2 linked regions of the Stegostoma tigrinum genome follow. The protein of the gene in region 1 interacts with the protein of each later gene in a pairwise test. Links are inferred from orthologs where the notes say so. Each region holds a gene or a part of one and is shown on either strand. Other genes may lie near its edges. The genes, in order: ap3d1 and sybl1.

The links.
Region 2: the proteins of ap3d1 (region 1) and sybl1 interact in a two-hybrid assay, tested with the Homo sapiens proteins (2 studies listed by BioGRID and IntAct). The link is inferred for Stegostoma tigrinum from reciprocal best matches to the Homo sapiens genes AP3D1 and VAMP7.

The regions. Positions count from the first base shown.
Region 1 is NC_081383.1:19,183,690-19,191,392, reverse strand, and holds the start of ap3d1 (AP-3 complex subunit delta-1), read left to right. Parts: upstream 1-4,300; 5' UTR 4,301-4,538; coding exon 4,539-4,634; intron 4,635-7,703. UniProt on the Homo sapiens protein: Part of the AP-3 complex, an adaptor-related complex which is not clathrin-associated. The complex is associated with the Golgi region as well as more peripheral structures.
Region 2 is NC_081368.1:48,299,298-48,306,866, forward strand, and holds the start of sybl1 (vesicle-associated membrane protein 7), read right to left. Parts: upstream 3,122-7,569; 5' UTR 3,011-3,121; intron 1,932-3,010; 5' UTR 1,925-1,931; coding exon 1,779-1,924; intron 1-1,778. Other genes in the region: polr1d (DNA-directed RNA polymerases I and III subunit RPAC2), read left to right, coding at 3,317-3,358. UniProt on the Homo sapiens protein: Involved in the targeting and/or fusion of transport vesicles to their target membrane during transport of proteins from the early endosome to the lysosome. Required for heterotypic fusion of late endosomes with lysosomes and homotypic lysosomal fusion.

The sequences.
Region 1 (7,703 bases):
GGATTAGAGGGATACTGCACTCCTCCAGTCTAGGTCATAACAGTGGGAATTGCCCCTTTAAGAACATCAGTTGCAACAAGACGCGAAGATCATCCATAGGCCTTTCCCTCATTAAATTAAATGGGGTGGAAGGAAGAAGGCTGTGGGAATTCTCATCCACAACTCACCATAGGAATGCAGTAAATTCCACCCATGATTTCTTGGTCCTGCAATCAAACATGTAAATAATGGGTTAGTTAAGACATGCAATTAGGTTCAAGCAGAGTATCTAGATTGAGGTCAACAAACCATTACTTTCATTTTCAAAGGTTTGTGTAATTATGAAAGGGAATCTTCTAAAGTCCTTATCCTAGCTTTGGACCTCATAGGCACGAGACATAAGTCCGAAGCAGATTTTATAAACCTTTCAAACTCTATCAATGTGGATGAAGGAAAGTCTGTGTTTATCTATGAATTGAATTAAACAGAATATATTACAAATTCTCTAATCATGTGAAAATTATTGGATTGTTTTTATGCTGCCGCTTAACCATTTCAGGAAGCTGCTTTATTGTTCATAGTTTTAGTTGTAAAATGTAACAGAGTAATTATTATCTGCCACCCGAAGCCAAAGAATTCATGTCACTTTTCTATTTCTGTACAATTCCTGCACAATATTGCAAGACACATAATGTAAAGTCACAATCTAGCATGTGGCAATGATGTTCAGTGATGATGATGGTTTCTCCGTTACTTCAATGGATATATGCTTAGTAAGGAGTCTCATTTTTTTCCATTTAGGTTAACGTGTGTCTCATACAAAATGGTAAAGCAATCTCCATTTGCAGTTCAGATTGCAAATGTTATATAGCAAATCATTCTGTGTGAACTCACTGGCTTTGTGATGTGTTTGACTTGACCCTTTTCTACTTAAATGTTGAGAGTGCTTGATGTCAGAGACGTCTCAGACATACCCTGGAGCATACCTTGGACTGTGATTCAGTCATGGGCAATGTGGAAGTTGCCTGGAGTAAATGGTGAGCAGAATATGCCAGGTACCCAATTTGGTTTTGATGTTGAGGTTTCCTGACATCCAGCTTTTTAGGTGAGTTTAGTAAGATAGGGCCTAAATATTAAGGATGCAAATTGGGCCATCAACCCGAATTTTAACCAGCAATAACACCCCCCCCCCCCCCACTTAATTGGATCATGGCATTGACTCAACTTTCGTGCATTGGTGGAATTTACCGCACACTTGTCTATACCAATAGAAATGGTTTTCACAAGATTCGTGATTCCAAAGAAGCCTTGTCAAAAAGCTTTCAATGCCTAATGGCCTTCCAGAAACCTTTTTTTCAAATAACTAATCCATGTAACTTTTTTTCCCACTGAGAAATATTAAATGCCTTCATAACAATGCCCACTTTAGGGTTATATCCCACTACTGCAGGAGGCACAGCATACATGGAACTCTGGAGGGATTATTTGCAACCTTCAAGAGTGTGAAGGGTTCCCTTTTTCAACGGTATTTATAGCCTGATTAAGGATTCCACATCGAGTAGGGAGTTGGCCTGGTAACAGCAACTTTCTCACTCCTCCTGTTGATCCCCCCAAAGCCCTTTTACCAGAAGTCCACATCCCATGAATAGCCTCCTACTACCCTTCTCCTGTGCCCCGGTCCATCAGCAATGCTGGATCTTATCTGGTGGTGTACTGGCAGCAGCCATCCCCTCTCCAATGGCACTACTTGCTGTAGAAGGGCTGCTAGCCTCTGACTGGCTTGTGATTCTTAGTGGGTGGAACTTCCATGATTTTGGCAGAAGGCCCTCCACTGCTCTATCAAGTGCCTGTGATATAGGGCTTTTGTCAGCTGTCCAACCAGTGACCAAGAACCCCATCTTCTCCATTAAATCCAGCCCACACATTTGATGAGTGGTTTCCGTCTGCATTTACAATCAGCATGTATTTGAATGGACATATTTCCTACAATTGCAACAAATGAATCGATGCACATAGGCACTGGAGAAATTCCTTCCCAATGTGCAGCACTAAATTTACTGTGGTGAGTCAGATCTTCAAACAGCTCAGAGAAAATGGAAACTGCAGATGCTGGAGAATCCAAGATAACAAAGTGTGAAGTTGGATGAACACAGCAGGCCAAGCAGCATCTCAGGAGCACAAAAGCTGACGTTTTGGGCCTAGACCCTTCATCAGAGGGACCCGAAACGTCAGCTTTTGTGCTCCTGAGATGCTGCTTGGCCTGCTGTGTTCATCCAGCTTCACATTTTGTTATCTTCAAAGAGCTATTGGTTCATTTTGTGGTCAGTGTCAAGTATTGGCACTTATCACTAAGCTTGAAGGAACACACCCTCCTAGATTGAGCAATTTCTGTATGATGGGTTTTGCTATTACTGACTTTAGTTTCAATTTGACTTCTTGTTGAGCAACTTGACGTTAACCAACCAATCACAATAAAATAGTCTTCAGGCTGCAAACCAGGAAATAAAATGCACTGGCCGTTCTTCGCCTTAGAGTGAAATAGATGTTTAAGTCACACACATTTGAAGCTTAAATCACATTGGAAAAAGAGAACTTAAAGTGGAATGGAAAAAAAAATTTAGACAAATATGAAATTAGTTTTCAACAGCCAAAGAGACTATTCAGCAGTAGTACAACATTTAAAAAAAGTCATACTTCATTGACAAGTTGCTGACTTTGGGTCATCGCTGGTGGTGGTTAACGGCAGTATTACAACATAAAAGACAAATTGCTGACTTTGGGTCAACGCTGGTGGTGGTTAACAGCAGTATTACAACATAAAAGACAAAGTTCTTTGTCTGTTTAGTGATTCGAAGTTGATCACAGTTTGAGGAAGTTCGACAGTATGCCCTAGTGAAACAATTAGAATCAGTGGCAGCAACTTCTACATCTGTCTCCACATGTACACAATGGCAAGAGATTATTGATTTCAAGAGGAATAACAGTGGCACTTTTTCATTATCATTGCTACCACAAAATAGCGAGGGGGTTCAAAAACAGGAACAGGAGTGATTTGCTGTGACTGTACAATAGATTTGTAAGACAACACCAGGACAGTGTGTGCAGTCTCAGTTTAAGAATAAAGGGTTTGCCTCTTAGGATTGAGATGTGAAGAAATTTCTTCACCCAGAGGGTAATGAGCTTGTGGAATTCTCTGCCAAAGGAAACTGCTGAAACCAAAACATTGAACATTTTCAAGTAAGTTTTAAATATGTATATAGGTCCTAGGACCAAAAGGATCAAAGCAAATGGAGAGAAAACAGGGCCAGCCATGATCGAATTGAATGGCAGAGCAAGCTCCAAAGGCTGAACAGCATTCTGGTCCTATTTTCCATGCTTCTATGTAAACTGGACTGAAAATTAGAAATCTGAAAATCAGAGTCTTTGAACGTTTTAGAGTTGATGCAGATGAGACACTTGATGACCAAATGGGTAAAAGATCATTGGGTCAGGCGGAAATGTGGAGCAATCAGATCTTGTGATCTAATTGAATCACAGAGGAGGATTCAGGAGCGAGTGGCCTATATCTGCTCCCAATTCGTATCTTCATACCCAACTGACTCAGTTTCATACGCACGGCCCAACTGAACACCACAAAATCATGCTTACAAAGGAAACCATAAAACAACGGAGAGACTATAAACGGTCTTATGCAAGAAAGCAATCTTAGGAAACGAAGATTCTGAGTGGAAATATCAATAATTGTGAAGATGAGCCAACATCGCACAGCCCTATCAATGCTGGCCCACGGTCCTGCGGCACAAGACTGTACCCCTATCAACGCCCCGCCCCGCCCCCTCCGGTGCGGGCCCCGCCTACTCTAGTTGTGGTACCCTCCCACGGACGCCCGCTACCGCCCACTCAAGGTCCCAACTTCTGCGCCCAGCCCCACCGCATTCTACGCCCCACACTGGCCTCGCCCACTGCAAGGGCCCGCCCTGTTTCCCACTGCGCCCCGTCATGGGCGCCCGTCCCTAGGCCGCGCCCTCTCCCGATTAAATCTCCGCCCACGGCTGGACAGACCACACCCACCATCTGTCCCGCCTTCTCCTGCCAAAAGCCTCTCCCCCTCTTAGGACGCGAAGAGTTCGCCCTGTCAACGCCACAGGCCCCGCCCCCTCCACAGCGGGACCCCGCCTATGTCCCATCCCAGGCCCCGCCATCTCAAACAACAGTCCCCGCCCCCTGCCGGACCTGCCCCCTGATCTCTAGGCTCCACCCCCACACTCCGCCGCGCTCCTTCTTTTCTCCTCCCCTTTCCAGTCCCGCAGTTGGTCACCTGACTCTAGCTTAGCCGCGGCCATTTTCTGTTGCTATCTGTAACCTGTAAGTGGGGGACAGTGCAGAGGCAGTATAATTCATTGTTGTGGCTCCGCTGGTTTATTCTACATTCCCTTTCTACGGTTGTGTAGATTCGGGAGAGGAAATCTGGCATGTTTTCCAACATCGGTGGTCGGTGAAAGGGAGAAGGGTTTGTGTAGCTCTCAAGAAGATCCCGGAGAAAGCCGACCCGAAGGAACATGGCTCTGAAAATCGTGAAAGGCAGCATTGACCGAATGTTTGACAAGAATTTGCAGGACCTGGTACGTGGCATCCGGAACCACAAGGAAGACGAGGTGAGTTGGAGCTGTTTTGCAGCCACCGTCACATCGCTGTCACACGAGAATGAGGAGGATTAAGAAACACGGGGAAAGTAACTACAAACGAATGTATCCGAGGCCTAGCATTGATAACAACGGGACAAACCGATCTTTCCATTCTTCACTTCGGCCCGGCGCTCGGGATAGTTCATTTCAGTCTGGAAACTGGGCTGTGGGACGAGCAGCTGCTGTTGACAGGAGCTCCCAAGAATCGGCTCCTTTTTTTCTTCTAACCTGTTTTTGCCTGGCGTTTAATTTCCTTGCGAAAATGTAAATCTGTGTTAAAGCAAACGCCCAAAATAATTGTTTCCCTTGCCAGCCGTCCCCGTTTCTATCTCCCCTCCAACAGTAATACTTATTTTTTTTATGAAATTGACAGTTGAGGGTCCAACTGTGTTTTGGTCCAAAAGCTGATAGTTTTGCTGATGCTGACGTTTGGTAACCTGATCACCAAGGGACGTATGTGGCCAAGCTTCTGACTTGACTCACACCTTATTGCTTACCTAATTGTGCGCGAATATGTTTTACGTTTGTCAATACTTTACCTACATAAACGGAAAATGTGCACATATTGAAGTCCTGATGCGTTGTTGTTGTCTTGAATTTCTCAATACGGCATTTCATTTTGTTTTGACACGGTTGTTTAGTGTATAAAAGTGGTCATTCACTCCAACGTAGAGTTGTAAAACCTTTGGTGATGTCGTGGTAAACCTGTGGTATAATCCTTGTTTGATAATTTTGGTACTGTACCTTTTTGTGTTTCTTTAGCTAACAACTAAGTTAACCTTTTGAGACTGGAGATGACAATGCTTTTCAAAACAGATGTTTTAAACATAGTGGAAAGCTCGCTCTTCTAACAGGAATAGCTTTACTCAAGTTAAATTAACTAGGTTGAGTGCAACCAATATTGTGCTCCCCCTACGATGACAGAATTTGTCCTGTGTACTAGGATCAGCTATTTTGTTTTAAAATAGTGAATGAAAACGAATGTTTGAAGTTTTGTGCCACTTGACACATATATACAGATTTTATCAGATGTTGATTAGTTCACATCCATTCATAATTATGTTGAAAATTTTAAACACTTGCTATTCATTAAGAAATACTAGTTAGATCACAGATTTAAAGAGCCAATTCCTCATAAGTTTCACTTCGTCTTTTGTAGGTGACTGTGCAACTTGAGGGAGAGGGGGTAGGATATGTTCAATGACAAGCATTGTGTTGGGGTGAGACAGGCTTGCTGGACCAACCCCAGTCCAGCATTGGAGCGCTTAAAAATCGAGGGTGGCACTGCAATACTGTTCTGAAGGACATTGTTAGATATGGCATCATGCGCATGAAAGGCCATCTGACTACTTGAATGAACATAAACATTTTAGCACCAATTCACTGAATGTCAGGGTGTAAATTCTGGTGCTCAAGTGAATGATTACCCCTTGATCAACATCTCAGAAACATCTGGTCACTGACATATTGGCTGTGAGAGCTTGATTTGTGCAAATTGGTTTTGTGCATTTCCAACACTTAAAATACTTAATTCACTGTATCATTCTTGGAGTAGTTGTGAAAGGTGCAACAATGCAAACTTTGTAGATTTGAAGAAAAGTTTTTTTGTTAATTTTTGTTAAGGGTACAGTCATCAGGTTACATTTCTTTGCGGCAGTATGAAAGTTTTAATGTGGGAGTTGGAGTTTTGTGAATGTAATCAGGTTGTGAAAAAAGCTTTATGCGTGCCAAACTGATATGATTTGTTGGGGAGTGGAAGAGAGACGGAATGCAGTTTTGGGCTTTTTTTTGGAACTACTGATTTGTTAGTTCTTAAGCAGAAGAATCATTTGGGAACAGTAAAACACCAATCGTGTAGGTCAAGGTACCTTAATTTTGTTAGGAGAATGAGGATAGCCAAATTAATATTGTCAAAAGTAATTTGACATGTAAACTTCAGCTATAACATGATTAAAATTGGTTTATATTTTGAGCGGTTGTATTCCTTTCAGTGACTGCACAATCCCAAAAACTGTGAAATCATCTATAGTCGGTGTTTCCAACTGCACTTTTTGATTCTGTGTCCTGATTCCTTTACTTCAAGTTAAACTTTTAAATTATAATATTTAGCATGTTTGCTTCATTCGATTAACATATGCTGCAAGCATTGGGACATGTATTTAAACTTTATTTAGGTTTCTGAAGTTCCGCCCATGCGTGGTCTCTATGCACCAGAGGAAATTACAAATAATAGCAAAAGTTAATATCCATGGAATTCATTTTAGTAATATAGCAAAACACAGACTCCAATTGTGCCAAACTGCTCTGGTGAAGTTGTGTGGTTGCACGCTTCTTTTCATTCTGCATACTGCTAGCCAACATTATTCAGTTCTTAAGTAGGGAGTGTGTAATTGCATCATCTGACATTGGTGATATTGGAAATTGTTTAAATTCAATTTACGTGGCTGAAGCTAGTGCACAAATCTTGTTTCTTGACATTGTAGGGCTGCAGTTTTGCTTCAGTTCTGTTGATGCAAAAGTGCTAATGGCAAATGGGTGAGTCAAATCACCATAAGCATTTTAAATCTAAGTTGTATAATCCTTTCCAATAGCTGGCTTTGTGACCTCTGTGCTGCATGCTAGTTGCAGCAATCTTCAACTGTCCATAAGACCATAAGACATAGGAGTGGAAGTAAGGCCATTCAACCCATCAAGTCCACTCTGCCATTTAAATCATGGCTGATGGGCATTTCAGCTCCACTTCCCTGCATTCTCCCCGTAGCCCTTGATTCCTTCTGAGATCAAGAATTTGTCGATCTTTGCCTTGAAGGCATCCAATGTCCTGGCCTCCACTGCACTCCATGGCCATGAATTCCGCAAGCCCACCACACTCTCTGGCTGAAGAAATGTCATCTCATTTCAGTTTTAAATTTACCCCTTCTAACTTTAAGGCTGAGCCCACGGGCACTGTCATTGAAGAGCAGGCCTTCAGTGTTTCATGGAAATGATTAAACTGGTCACTTCTGTTTTAGAAACCTGCGTTGCTGAGTGATCTGAATC
Region 2 (7,569 bases), on another chromosome or scaffold:
TGCACCAGTTGAGCCACTGGAGGAGGACAGTGTCCAATGAATTTGTCAAATTTAATACAGAAGACTGCAGACTCCGAACTGCTGTAAATGAAGTTTGTGCTAAGTGGATGTGGTTAATGAGATCTGTATTTGAAAAGAATTGATCAGGTGATGCAAGGTACAGGCAAAGCGAAAATAAAGCAGATAATTTTCTAAACAAGACAACTGTGACCTTAGTTACATTCCAGTTGTAAGCTTGGAAGGAGTAGGGTACAAAGTTGTGACATAAACAGATTACGTAACACTACACCTACAAAAGGCAAAACTCTCAAACAAAATCAACATACAATACAAGCAGTCTTGCTCAAACCTATCTAGATTCCACTTACTGAATCCAAACAGTGTTACAGATTAGCAATTGCACATTAACAATTAACATTTTATCTCACCAAGGCATAGGGCATTCAAGGCATTTTAAAGCAAAATTTACAGGCTTAAAATGTGGTTTAGCAGTGCCATTGTCAATGCATTGTCTCTGTATTCTTCCATCTGATTTAAGTACAAATCAGGAGCTGGCAGTCATTTGGCCCTTCAAGTCTGCTCTGCTTTTTAACATCATAGCTGATCCTTTAATCTCTGGAGATGCCCACCTTCTCTCATACCCCTTGATGCCTTTTATAGTTTAAAAACTTGAACTTTGAATACATTAAACGAGTTAAAATTTAGCTCTGATGATGTGGATGGACATCTCTCCAAGCAAATGCCTATGCAAAATTAAATTTGGGTTCATTATATAAATGCAGTTAAAGTCAGCAGCAACATGGCAGCCATAGATAAGCTGAAATTAGAAATGGAAAAATCCTATTAGCACTACAATGACAAGTCTCTCTTTTACAGAAACTGTTAAAATACAGAGTTAAAACAAGTTTACTCTCCATCCATAAGTAACCCAACTAGTTTGACCCAGGAAAAGGGGTGAGCCATTCAGCACAGAGCTATTTCACCATCCTAGGTGATCAATCATCTCAGTGCCAGTTCTTTTCCCACTATCACAATGTCCCTTAAGTGACATATTTTGAGTTCAACCTGCACTATGATTGAGCTTCCACAATCCTCTACAGTAGAGAATTCTAAAAAGACTCATGCCTTTCATTTGAAGATTTTCCTCCTTATCACAGTCTTAAAATGCTGTGCTCCTTAGCCGGAGATCTGTCCCTGGGTCTAAGGTCACAGAGGAGGTGCCCTATTTATATCTACATTGTCACATTTTATGACTTGTATAGGTTTCAAAAGGGTCACTTCTTGCATTTCCAAAGTTCTAGAGAACACAAACCAAGTTTCCTCAATCTTTCATGACAATCCTGTCATCCCATTAATCTGGTGATCTTGCCAAAAATGGGCAAGTATTCAAATTTCAGCATATTGTTGGCTGTGTGGCAGTAAGTCATTCCATTAAACTCTATTTTCCAAAGAGTATAGACACAAAAACATGATCAATCTCATTAACCATAAAATAACAGGGAAGGTGCAGGGGGAAGAGGGGGTGGGGGAAGGACCCTAGTCTAGGATCACAATGGTGTTAGATTACAGGAACTTCCTTGTGAATGTTTATTCTACAGAATGTCCAATAAATGTAAGAAAGAATGGTTCATTACCAGAACAACTTTTCCATACATGCATGATATCACTCATAGAGAAATGACGCTTCTGCTTTTAACTCAAAATATGCCAAAACAAAACTTCTCAGCATGTGAAAGCAGCAGTTACAAAATTCTCAGCTCAAAGATCTCGGGACTTACTTTCCATGAGAATAAGTCAGTTTATTATTTTCTGATGGTATTTTTGATAGTATCTGTTCAGTCACTTCCAAAAAATTCCCTCCACACCAGGCATTCTTTGCCAGGATGGTAGTGCCTCTTGCAACTACTGCAAACAAGATAGCCATGGCTCCTCTGAAAAGGTGATACAAAATACAAATGTACATCACAACTTTCAAATCACTAGATTACAACAAGATAAATACTCCCACTATGAACACACTATTTACTCCATACTGAAAAGTACAAGACATCATAATGAGAAAAGCAGGATCACAGTTACAGATTAAGGAACAAGCCAGCCAGACAAGAAAGTTTTAAAGTCATAGTGCTTTGCTTAGAATCAATTTTAATGCTAGCCTGGAAATAGGATTGAAATGAATGTTCACCTTACTTCATAGAATCATGTAGTACAGAAGAGGCCCTTTGGTCCATTAACTCTTTACTGCCAAAACTACACTATTACCATCTACACTAGACCCATAGACTTAAATATTACAACACTTCAAGGTGTTCATCCAAGTACATTTTCAAAAGTTGAGATTTCCCCACCTCAACTGCCATCCCAGACAGTGTATTCCAGATCCCCACCACCATACAGTCAAAAAAGCTTTTCTCTAAATCCCTTCTAAACTTCCTACTTTTTACCTTAAAGATTACACCTCCTTGTTAACCCAGCCACCAAGGAGAACAAGTCCTTTCTCCTCAGTCTTATACACCTCAACCTTCTCTGCTGAGAAGTAAATAACCTGAGTTTAGCGACTCTGTCTTTGTGGCCAAAATGTTCAATCCCAGTGGATCATTTCTGCAAGTACACCCTTCCAATAGCGTGGTGACCAACTGTGGCCTAGAGCTCTAAATAGTCTTTGCAAGACGTCTCAAACTGATCCTCCAACTAATTTCGCTTTCGAGCTTCCTTCACCAACAACCGTTCACGCTTCGCAGTAAACGTTAGATACTCAAGTACGGGTCTTACAACAAACGGAAGAAGCGATGCGACCCAACACAGCCCACAGCTGAAGTTCTCCACCTGCAGCTCATCAAAACACCAGTGACACCTGAGCCCTTTCCCTAGGTAAACATTCCCCAAACTGAAAGCTCCACACTACGACGTTACATGTCTTCACCATAAAAACAAACAGCATCCACAAACTCTGGGCGAGCTCGACTAACGTCCTAATGACAGCAACAATTAAACAAAAACTGTCCCATACCCTTCCCTGAGCTTCCTCCACTCCGGGGCCTTATCCTCAAGCTTCACCCTTTCCACACACTTCCGGTCAGGTGATACCTTTGCCACGCGCACGCACAGGTCGACACGGCCAGCCTCCTCACAAAACGCACGCAACCATCAGCCTTACGCGAATTATGGGAAATGTCGTTCAAGCCGTGAAAGTAACGGACATTTACAGGCGCGTTTATCCTTCGAAGACTACAATTCCCGGCATCCATGGAGAACGACGTTTAATACCGGCGTCGACATCCAGTGTCGAAGTGGACCCCAGAGCGACAGCGTGAGGATGGCAACAGCTGAAGGGATGCAGAAACCTGTCCTGGAAGTGGTGAGTACGTTCTCTCGTAGTGTCCAGCACTTGACTAACCTTAGTATCAGAGATAATGGGAACTGCAGATGCTGGAGATTCCAAGATAATAAAATGTGAGGCTGGATGAACACAGCAGGCCAAGCAGCATCTTGGCCTGCTGTGTTCATCCAGCCTCACATTTTATTAACTTGACTAACCTTGTTTGTTTTTGTTTTTGTTTTGGAGGCGGTACTAGAGAAAATTGATAAAATCATAGATGCAAGTGATCTGAATTTTCAGAAGGCGTTTGGAAAGAACGATAAGGTCTGAGAATATGGAGTCTGTAGACAGACTATTATTTGCTGTCTTCAAAGCAATTACTTTATATCACAGGAAAAAAATACTTATGACTCACATATGAAGTTCTGAGCATGTCTGTCAACAAGAATAAGTAGTGGGCATAGAAGACCGTTGAAATCCAATGCTATGCCGACCTCTCTAACATGCTCAGCCATTTCCAGGCCACCTTAGACCTTGAATGGTTCAAAAACAAACAATCTTGAAGGCAGTAATATACTCCTCAAATACGATGTAGTCACCCAAGATTTTTGGAAAGAGCATTACTAGTTTCAGACAAGATTCCAACAGTTTGATAGATTAACTTTGGGTATATGCCCACGTTTGCTGAGAGACTATCCAAAAGATGAAATATAACACTGTATGGTTGGACAATGTTTCTGCAGAGATCAATAAAGTGGGTAGGCATGAATATTTGCTCAAACCTTCAGACTTTGTACAAGTCAGGGAAGAAGATGTATTTCTTCTCAGCTTCCACAAAGCAGTATTGTTTTTCTATTTTAAGAAGGGTGCAAAATTAATACCATCAATGCACTATCATCAGGGTTCATAGTCTTTGTGGTATCCAGTGCTGTCAGCTGTTTTTTGAAATCATACAGAGTGAACTGAATTGGCTGAAGACTGATATAAATGATGTTGATGTATAAGGTATGTACTCAGCACTTCTGGCTGAAGAGGGTTGCAAATGTTTCATCTTTGCTTTTTTGCATAGATATGCTAGGCTGCCTTTCATTGAGGAAAGAGTTGTTTTTGGAGCCTATTGCTCCACTTGTTCAGTTGTCCACTACTGTTACTGACTAGTTGTTGAAAAACTGCTCAGCTTAGGTTTGATTCATTGAGTGTAGGATCGTTTAGCTCTCTTTATATCATTTGCTGCCTCTGCCATTTGATATGCAGTAGTCTTGTGTTGTAGTTTCTGCATACTTTGAGATATGTCTGGTGTAGCTCCTGCCATGCCCTCTTGCACTCTTCATTGAATCAGGCTCTCTGCTTGATAGTAATTGTACAGCAGAGTTATGCAAGGCCATGAAGTTACAGATTGTAGCTGAATTTAATTCAGTTGCTGATGGCCCACTATGCCTCAAAGGTGCTTAGTTTTGAGTTGCTATCCCATTCTGCCCCATTTAGTAGAATGGTAGTGCCATGTAGCAGGATAGAGCGTATTTGCAATGTGCAGATAGGACTTTACAAGAAGTGGCCTGCCCAACCAATAAGGTAATTGACAGATTCATTTCTGCTGGGTAGATTGGTCTGGACCTTCTCAGTTTAGCAAATTGGATCCTCTTTGCTCTAACAAACAAACAATCCATGCTTGCTATCAAGAGCAATTCAGAACAGGTCACATAACCACTTTTCAATTAATCATGAATTGAAGATCCAACCTCGAGATGATGATCTTATAACTTTCATCATTTTAATGTAATCAGTCACATAGAAAGCTCCTGACACTTGATCAGTCAGTAAGTCTGGCCATCACTGTTTTGGTAGGATGGGGTAGAATTCTTCAAATCTAAACTAAACAGCAGGTTGGATAGAGGTAAGCAGAGATGAAGATTTAAACTTTCAAACAATCTCATCTCCCAAGCTATTGACCCTGTTCATCTTTGTGGCCACTGTTTAAGACTGTTGAATATGATTGCACATTAGCTGACTGCATATTCACTTCCACACGAAGATCGTCTCCTTCCAACTCTGCAGCACTGCTCGATTCAGCTCCTACCTCAGCTCATCTGCTGCTGAGATTGTAACTTGTTCTGGATGTGAGTTTGCTCGCTGAGCTGGAAGGTTAGTTTTCAGACGTTTTGTCACCATTCGAGGTAACATCATCAGTGAGCCTTCGACGAAGCGCTGGTGTTATGTCCCGCTTTCTATTTATCTGGTTAGGTTTCCTTGGGTTGGTGATGTCATTTCCTGTTCTTTTTCTCAGAGGGTGGTAGATGGGCTCCAAATCAATGTGTTTGTTGATGGAGTTCCCGTTGGAATGCCATGCTTCTAGGAATTCTCGTGCGTGTCTCTGTTTGGCTTGTCCTAGGATGGATGTGTTATCCCAATCAAAGTGGTGTCCTTCCTCATCTGTATGGAAGGATACTAGTGATAGTGGGTCATGTCTTTTTGTGGCTAATTGATGTTCACGTATCCTGGTGGCTAGCTTTCTGCCTGTTTGTCCAATGTAGTGTTTGCCATAGTCTTGCTACATTGGACAAACAGGCAGAAAGCTAGCCACCAGGATACGTGAACATCAACGAGCCACAAAAAGACATGACCCACTATCACTAGTATCCTTCCATACAGATGAGGGAGGACACCACTTTGATTGGGATAACACATCCATCCTAGGACAAGCCAAACAGAGACACGCACGAGAATTCCTAGAAGCATGGCATTCCAACCGGAACTCCATCAACAAACACATTGATTTGGAGCCCATCTACAACCCTCTGAGAAAAAGAACAGGAAATGACATCACCAACCCAAGGAAACCTAAACAGATAAATAGAAAGCGGGACATAACACCAGCGCTTCGTCGAAGGCTCACTGATGATGTTACCTAGAATGGTGACGAAACATCTGGGAACAAACCTTCAAGATCAGTGAACCAGCTTACATCTGGAACAAAATAAAGACCCACTCTCTTGTGGACCGAGAGGAGGAGAGTGCTGTGTTGGAGGTGAAAGAAGGACGTCGGGATGGCTGTGCACCCTTGCGACCGGTTGATCTTAATGCTGGCTTCGGCCTAACACTGGTTTAGGGGAGCAGCCAACCTGCAACGATGGCTGCGGCAAGTGCTCGTGCCCCAGGTCAGGGGGTCCGGAACACCATTTGTGTTTCTGTAAAGAAGGTGGATGAAGGTGCACCTGTGGACCGCACCTTCTTCATGAAGAGGGTCCTGTTGGACTGTTGTGGGTTCGCTGCTGCGGACATTTACTGCCTGCAGGATTTCCCCGGAGGAGGTTTTTACAATGTGACCTTCAGGAGTGCCAAGCTTTGCGAGCGCTTCCTGGAGGTTTTCAAGGAGAAAGGAGGTGAGGGCCCCCTCTCTGTATTGACCGCTGTCCCGCTGTTTGTGGTGCCAGCGCAGGGGGTCGTATGGTGACTGTACACATGTACAACCCGCGTGTGCCAGCAGCTGATGTCCTGACCTTCCTTGGAAGATACGTGAAGGTGGAAGGGGACCTAACTGACATCATGGACCGCTTTTGGCATCTGGACCAGTAAGAGGCAGGTCAAGGTGACGCTGAGGATGGGCGCGGACGGGAACGTCGTACACCCACTGTCCAGCTTCGCGATCGGCGGGAGCAAGGGCTACCTGACCTATGCAGGGCAACCTAAAGTCTGCCATGCCTGTGGTAGGTCAGGTCACGTGGCGGCCGACTGCAAAGCCACCATCTGCAGGGAGGAGGGACACCTTGCAAACCTGCAACCTTTGCGGGGAAGCGGGCCACCTCTATAGGGCATGCCTGCAGCAGGGGACCACTTACGCCCAGGTCGCCGGCAGGGGCAATGCGGGGCCAGCCCCCCCGGAGAAGAGGAAGGCACCAGGGCCCAGCAAGGACCCCACTAATGTGCAGGAGAGCCAGGCCATGCAGGAGGGCCCAGCCCCGCAGGATGGGCCCGAGGCCAGCAAAGCACCCCTGCAGGCTCCGCTCCCCCCCGACAACCCGGAGTTGATGGAGGCGGCGACAGGCGACCCAGGGGAGTGGACAACGGTCCAGAAAGCGAGGAGGAAGGTGCGTCGATGGGCCCAGGAACCGCAACCATCAGGCGGGAAGAGGCTGCTACAGGGGGGCTATAAGAGCTCCTCTGACGAGGGGGATTCGGAGAGGGCCCGCCCGAAGCAGAAGTTAAAGATCTCGAGGGAGAAGGAAAGCAGCACCCGGCTTCCAGGTGTTGGG